2 linked regions of the Schizosaccharomyces pombe genome follow. The protein of the gene in region 2 interacts with the protein of the main gene of each other region in a biochemical or structural test. Each region holds a gene or a part of one and is shown on either strand. Other genes may lie near its edges.

What was found. The genes of interacting proteins can lie anywhere in the genome.
Region 1: the proteins of acp1 (region 2) and stg1 form a complex in vitro, tested with the Schizosaccharomyces pombe proteins (one study listed by BioGRID).

The regions. Positions count from the first base shown.
Region 1 is NC_003424.3:2,659,522-2,663,281, reverse strand, and holds stg1 (SM22/transgelin-like actin-modulating protein Stg1), read right to left. Parts: upstream 1,586-3,760; 5' UTR 1,482-1,585; coding exon 957-1,481; 3' UTR 747-956; downstream 1-746. Other genes in the region: SEACAT complex subunit Sea2, read left to right, coding at 2,698-3,760. UniProt on the Schizosaccharomyces pombe protein: Has actin-binding and actin-bundling activity and is a component of the actin patch. Stabilizes actin filaments against disassembly. Cross-links F-actin and is required for the formation of the contractile F-actin ring.
Region 2 is NC_003424.3:4,583,547-4,587,419, forward strand, and holds acp1 (F-actin-capping protein alpha subunit), read left to right. Parts: upstream 1-1,668; 5' UTR 1,669-1,708; coding exon 1,709-1,778; intron 1,779-1,824; coding exon 1,825-2,018; intron 2,019-2,082; coding exon 2,083-2,589; 3' UTR 2,590-2,990; downstream 2,991-3,873. Other genes in the region: peptidase Icp55, read left to right, coding at 1-11, 73-150, 194-415, 465-572, 617-787; succinate dehydrogenase subunit Emi5, read right to left, coding at 1,004-1,130, 1,187-1,479; til1 (tRNA(Ile)-lysidine synthetase family protein), read right to left, coding at 3,038-3,844. UniProt on the Schizosaccharomyces pombe protein: F-actin-capping proteins bind in a Ca(2+)-independent manner to the fast growing ends of actin filaments (barbed end) thereby blocking the exchange of subunits at these ends.

The DNA.
Region 1 (3,760 bases), 1.9 Mb from region 2:
AATTGTTGCTTGTGTTGAGCAACAATATAGCATCATGTACAAATTAGAAAATAAAAATTCGATTTGTGATAAGTTGTCGGAAGAATAAACTTTGAAAATGTACAAACGTTTTTTCCTCTATATTGACTCTTAGCGATGTGGAAATGGCAGTAGCCTTGGTTTTTTGCTACTCTAAAAGAGTTTGATTTGTTACACTTTAAATGTTTAAAAACTTATTTGTTTGATTTCTTTTAATAACACTAATGTCTAAACAAATGCAATACATGCAATTTTATTATCTACTTTGTTTCTTGCAAAACTGGTCTACCAGCATTTTCTTTTGTATACAAGCTTTAAAATTTTTATTTAATTTCTGACTTGAGTAAATTTTAAGCAAACAATTTTAACAACATCTCTAGTATTTCTGCAATTTTCAATGTACATACATTTTTTTTTTATAATATCTCACAAAACTATTTGTAAATACGTTTACCGACCTGCTTATCATTTAAGAAATTGAATACAAAAATAACAAAATAAATAAATAAAGTGTGCATTTTTATTAATCACTGATACTTCCATAACTAATTTTTGCAACATTTTTTTTTTTCTCTGCAGCTTTGTAAGGAAACGCTCATGAAACAATGAATTGTCGTATTGCTTTTTTAAGTCATTTGATACGACGAGAAATCTAGCAATACAGCACCAAACATAAGATTTTAAATGTGTTTTCAAACTACGAATCAAACTATAATTCAATTTATGTTTTAGTGTCGTAAAAAAAACATATCATTATGAATATTTAAAGCAAAACTTAAGCTTCTATATTTATACACATCTTTTACAAGACCTCACGTTTCACTCCTATTATGGATTCGGCAGATTTTACGAATGAATGAAAATAAATAAGTTATCAAAAAGTACAAGAAGCGAAGATATAAAGTTATACAATCTTCAATCTCTTTCCCTACACAAGACTAATACATATTTCCGGTCGGGTCCCTGCGTCTAGAAAATGCAATCTTCTCGGTTCCCTGTGTCGGCATATCAAAGCTTCCATACTGAAGACTATTTACGCCTTCTCGAAACTCACGCTGCTGCTGTGCTGAGAAAACACGAGGCTTCTTCTCTGCCAATTTAGGACCCAAACCACGAACTTTGCCGGGAAACATTTTCGCGGCATAGCGCGAAAAGGAGTGAATACTTCTTAAAACCTGTTCATCATTTCTCCGCTCAAATAAATCAGAAGTTTGAAACATATCTTGTGAAGGAACATGTACAACTTGCTGTGCATAGTTAATGAAGGCAGATATGTTTTCCATTTGGACAAAAGGCATGTTAGATTCTTTGTATCGAATGTTAGCGCCTAAAGCTTCTTTGCAAATTCTGCAAAGAATCACCCCGGATTGTAATTGATCCAGTAAGTCTAACTGAGCATTCAATTTCGTATGCAAAGTTTCTTCGATCCATTCTCTTGCTTCTTTTTCAAGTTGAGACGTCATTTCTCACGAAAATTTAAATAAAAATAAAGAAAAGTTCCAAGAAATTATATCACGGAACGCCCAATGACAGTTTGGTTTTTCAGAGGTGGTTAGTGAAAAGCGGCTTCGTATAAGCCTGACGAGTGCCATCTTAATTCAATGTGTAGCAACTGGACTTAATAGATCATTTAGCGTAACTCCAGCTACGCAATTCGTATCTGAGTTTAAGGTACAGTAGACTGCGTAAACTCTTTATCAGCAAACTAACTCTTGTACGGTAAACTGATGATTTGTTCTTACTAATTAGTACTATATAAAGTAGAGTCGAATTACTTTGCTTCACAATTCGTTTATGGAATGAAGACTTGTTTATTTAATTTCGAAAGCATCATTATATTACAAAATACAAACCGACAAGGTACTGCAAACCGCTTTTTCGATTGACACTGTGCAACTGACATTGGACTGACCGGCTTTGCTTACTTATATCGTCATATATAACATGTTATCTTCATATTTAATATTGTAGCTACTATAACTCTACGAAAGAAGCATTGAAAGATAAGCTCAACAGTACCATTCTTTAAATGTTGTAAATCAGCGTAAACGAAATTTTAAATCATAAGTCATGTATACGCGACAAATGCCATAGTAAAATGTGAAACCTATATAATGAACTCTACAGGAATGCAGTATAGCGTTACAGGATGCAATATTGCTGATTCATAGCGAGATTCAGAAGTAAATTCACAAAACCAAACTTACTAGAAGCAATAAGCAACTGAACTTCGTAAAAATAAATTATATTTGAACTTTTATTCTTTTGAAAACTTCCGATGTGTAATTGTTCTGATTGAATTTCCTCAATAATTGAAAATTCGAAAGCTCTTATTTGTTCACTAACATTGGACTTGATATTTACATTAGCAGAAACTTTTCTTACTGTTAGTTGCTCCTCTACTTTTCTACTTTATCTTTTTGGTTAATGTATCAAAACAAATAGTTTGATAAAGAATAGTCTACTTTTTTCTGACTTTTACTATTGAACGATCTTGCAACGTTAATTTTACCAATGTACGGTGAGTGTCACCATACTTGCATTTCACTTCAGCAATTTCTTTGACTTCCTGTCCGATATTTAAGAACTTGTTTCCTTTTCTGTATGCAAATTTCCTAAATCATTTTAGAAGGCATCAGCTGCTACTCTACCAGCTTCATTTTGTTTTCAAATTCGTAAATGCCTTCACGAAACTCAAACGTCCTTCAGCGACCTACTTATGCCCAACTTGCTAGCACATCTGTAAAGTCATCCAAAGGACTTGTTAGTTACCAAGACTGGGTTGTTGATGTAAAGGCCTCCATCAGTGCTATTTCGGTAAATAAAAGCCGTACAAAAGTGGGTGTAGCAGGCCGAGAGCTTCTAAAAGTTCTAGCTGTTAATCCAAACTCTTCAAAGCCTCCTGTTTGCATCTCTGACCTTCTACAAAAATCAACACAAACAAAGCACATCTCTTGCAATGATGTAAAGTGGGGTAGTAGTTTTGCTTCAAATTTAATTTTTACATGTTCACCGCTTGGTAATCTCAATGTATGGGATGTTAATTTAGAAGCCCTTCTCTATGACTTTAATGAGCATTCTCGAGCCGTACATAAATTGGATATCTCTTCATTTCACCCGTCTTACGTTTTAACAGCCTCTCAGGATGGGTTAATTAAGCTTTGGGATTACAAGGAAAGCTCATCAACAATCACTTTTCGTGGAAATTCTGAAGCTGCTCGAGACGTCGTATTCTCCCCTTCTGAGCCAAATGAGTTCGTTGCCGCTTATGACAGTGGGATCTTGCAAAAATGGGATATCCGGTTTCCAAAACTTCCTTTTTTAAAATTAGCTGCACATAATGGTGTTGTTTTGTGTGTTAATTATAGTCCTAATGGTGTTTTTTTAGCGTCATGCGGGAGAGATAAGACTATTCGTATTTGGGATTCCACAAGCAACAAAAAAAAGTCCCTTATAACTATCAATAATGTCAGTCCCCTCAATTGTGTTCGTTGGCGACCGGCTAATCAGCAATCGAGAGGTTCTAATCAACTTGCAAGCTCTTCTCTTGTAGGTGATACCGCAATAAATGTTTGGGATATTACTAGGCCTTATATCCCATACAGAACCGTCAGTTGTCATGATAGTATTGTTTCAACGATGCATTGGGCTTCTACAGAGCTACTCTGGTCTTGTAGTAAAGATGGAATTTTTTCTCAGACGAGAGTTGAAAATGCCTTTAATTGTATTGATATGCTTCCAC
Region 2 (3,873 bases):
CAGGTGGAAAAGTAAGTAATCAATTCCTGAAAATGCTGAATGCTATTACTTTAAGCTTTATTAACAAAGAAGAATGGCTTGACTATCCATTACACAATTAATAATGATATATTCCGTCCTGACGAAATGGTTTTGGTAGACGCTGGCGGTGTAAGTGCCTTCAATTTTTTGTCAATTAACACTTGCTTAACAGGAATTCGGTGGTTATGTAACAGATATCTCGAGGACTTGGCCCATCAACGGCAAATTTAGTACTGTACAAAGGGATTTATATCAAGCAGTTCTGAATGTGCAAAAGAAATGTATTAAGTATTGTTGCACCAGTAATGGCTGGAGCTTGGCTGATATTCACTTTGAAAGTGTTAAATTAATGCATGAAGAATTGAAGCAGGTCGGCATTCATGGAACTAAACGGGTAAGTTTGCTACTTCGCAAAATATTCGTACTAACTTCCTTGGCTATAGGAGATTACAGATATATTGTATCCGCATTCAATTGGGCATGAGATTGGACTAGAGATTCACGATTGTTCTACGAATAATGGTTACCAACCGTTGCGCAAAAACCAAGTTGTAAGTTGAAGTTCTTTTCAGATTATTTGCTAAACGGGGTTTAGATTACCATAGAACCCGGACTATATGTTCCAGAAGAAGACGGATGGCCTCAATGGGCTCAAGGAATAGCTATTCGAATTGAAGATAGCGTAATCGTTGGTGATGACAAGCCGTTCGTATTAACTAGTGCTGCTCCAAAAGAAATTGAAGAAATTGAAGCTTTGAAAAAGTAGAGATTGTGTTACCTATTGACTAAGAATTAGGACTACATCTGACTATCGTAGAATAAAAGACATTATTTTTGGACTAAGTTTCTTAGAAGTAAGATTGAAGGGAAAAAAATCTATATATACTGTTAAATTTTAATCATTACACGAATTTTTTTTTAATATTTTATTGAAAAGTCAACGTCAAAAATAAACATTAGTTTAGAGAAACAAGAAACGTTTTCAAAATAGTTCTGGCATTCGAAGTGTATGATTCCTCTGACTTCGACAGTATTTGCTCAATTCCTTGAAGACTTGACTCGATTTCCACTTTTCAGGTGCTTCCCTTTCTCCTGAACACCAGTATAGACTAAAAATTGGACGTTAAAATAGCGCACATTAAGTATATCAAGTTCATTTACTTACATATCCCAATCGGGCTCATCTAATAATTGATCATACTCTCGCAGAAGAGATACTGGATATTTATCAATCTGATCTTTGGCGAAATTAGATAAAAGCAAATCCGTTTCCAATATTCCCCGTTTTCTAGATTGATATTTAAGTCTTGCCAACATTGCGTCTCTAGTCTCGTAAGAGCGATTCACCCTTTTTAAATCACCTTTGGTATGCTCGAAGCGAAGTTGAGGCATTCTATTCATACATCTTGCACTTCTTAGAAGCGTCGTGATATTAGATAAGTTTGTCTTCCTTAACATTGTTGATATTTTCAAATGAACAACTAAGCGATTAACCAGACGACCTCCGAGGCTATATTTACTTATATATGAATAAAAAGAAAAAAAAATTAGGTTATAGCTCCTTTTTTTGGAAGATTTGGTAGACTATACAACTCTTTGGTGATAGTTTTGCGGCATTGTCTTCACCATCCGTATTCGTTTCTTACCATTCACCATTGTCCGCACCACATTATAGAAATTTCGAAAGATGGAAAAGGAGGCAATTTACAAACTCATTAGAGAATCTCCTCCAGGAGAAGTTAATCAAGTAGTTCATGGTTTGTTAAAGTGCTGAATACCTCAACATTCTAATGCATATAATAGATATACGCGACATCGGTCTAAGTGATGAGGAAGCAATTCACGAACAACTGAAGCTTTATCATGAAGACTACAACTCTTCTGTCAGCATATCGGATGACGAAAAAGTAATTATTTCAGCTGATAATCGTCTAGAGGGCAATCGCTATTATGATCAAGTTTTACAGAAATCATTTACCATTAATTATGAAACTATGGTAAGGTTAAATTTTTCAAATCTTTTTTTTGTGATAATTGTTAAATAGCTAACAGTATTCATAGGAAGCTGAAAACGTTGAAGATTATACCGAAGCCATAAAAATTCCCGATGAAATAGTAAAGCAAATTAAAAAGGTTGCTTCGGATCACTATCTATCTGATGTAACATTTGGAATCATCAAAAAAAGCGATGAAGTGGAATCGTTTACAATTGTTTTGGTTTCTTCAAAGTATAATCCCAAGAACTATTGGAACGGTTCGTGGCGCTGTATATGCAATTACAACGTTTCGGAAAAGAAACTGGAAGGCAGGTCGCATATTCGTGTTCATTACTATGAAGACGGAAATGTTTGGTTGGATGCATCCCGTCCTATTTCTGCTACAGTCGAGGAGACCAGTAAGCTTTATGAAGTGTTGGCTCAAGTCGAAAATGGAATTCAACAGTCCTTCAACGTTGAACTTTCTTCACTTAATGACAAAAAGTTTAAAGAATTGCGTCGTCAACTTCCAGTCACTCGCCAGAAAATTAATTGGGAAAACGTTAGTGGCATCCGTATGAGAAATACTTGAAACACTTATATGTGTTTATAAATTTTGGAAATTTTTTTGCGACGATATTTTTTAAGACGGTGATTCAAGCTGTTTCCTTTTCCTTCTTCCTAAATACATATACATTGTCGCTCGATATACGACTAATAATTACTAGTCGTTTACTTTCTAAAACTTTACAAGAGCAACTCACACGCTCTTTTCTTAAACTCTTATAAGTTTTAGGAAATTATTTTTTTACGATCAATAATACAAGTTCTTCATCATTTTTTTACCGCTCGTCACCAGTAATTTAAGGGCGTATTACTTTTTGTGTGTAAGCATCAGTCGTGCTATTTATCACCAGAATATGCTCTGAGCATCTGACTTTCACCTCTGACTTTGTGATAATATAAATAAATAATGAGGCATTATTAAATCACAAATCTTGTATCTCTAATTAACATTGATTTCATGGTTCAAGCAGCAATTAAAGCTTGAACTTGTGTAGACAGTTTGAGATAATATCACTTCTAAAATTAAACCCAAAAGTAGGTATTCCAACTAACTTATCGTTTTCTTCCGACAAGACTGGAATAGTAAACCTGATATGGCCCGGAACTTGTATACAAAATTTAAGAAACTCTTCCTTACTCAAAAATCCCTTCAATGAATTTAGATCTTTGGAAAGCAACGGTCTAAGTATAAGTGTAGTCTGTGTATTTTTGCAACTGTACTTTATCCAAAACCTGTGATCCCATAAAACATAACGATCAGGATTTATGGTTATAGTTTTTTTTTTCAATTCAGCTTTACTAAATGGTTGTCTGGAAATTTGGAGTTGTAATTTAGTGTCGTCCTTTATAGAAGAGGAAGTGAGTAGACATTTAGCAATTGTTAGCTTTTTTCCATCAAAAACTGAATTACAAAGGCTTACAACAGAAGATCGTTTAATCTGTCTGCAACTTGTAGTCAATGTTAGACACCTTAAGAGCAATTCTTCCTTAGTAAGATTAGAGTGCTTTTTGAGCTCATTTTTTGAAAAGCATAAAGATAATGTACCAGATGGCTGATGGTAGCTCACAATATTATCTTTTAGTATTTCATCAACTTTATTATCTATGTTCACCTGTAAGGACTGAAACGCGGTAGCTAGTTTTGTAGCCTCTACGGTCAATGCGGCATGTTGGTTTAGAAATCTTCGTATTGCATTTCGAGGGGTGAGATTTATATCAGCATTTGTTGGATCCTCTTCCCAAGCAATTCCATGTTGTTTTGCGGTATTTAATATTTGGTTCTTCAATTCATAGGTTAGCATAAAAGTTT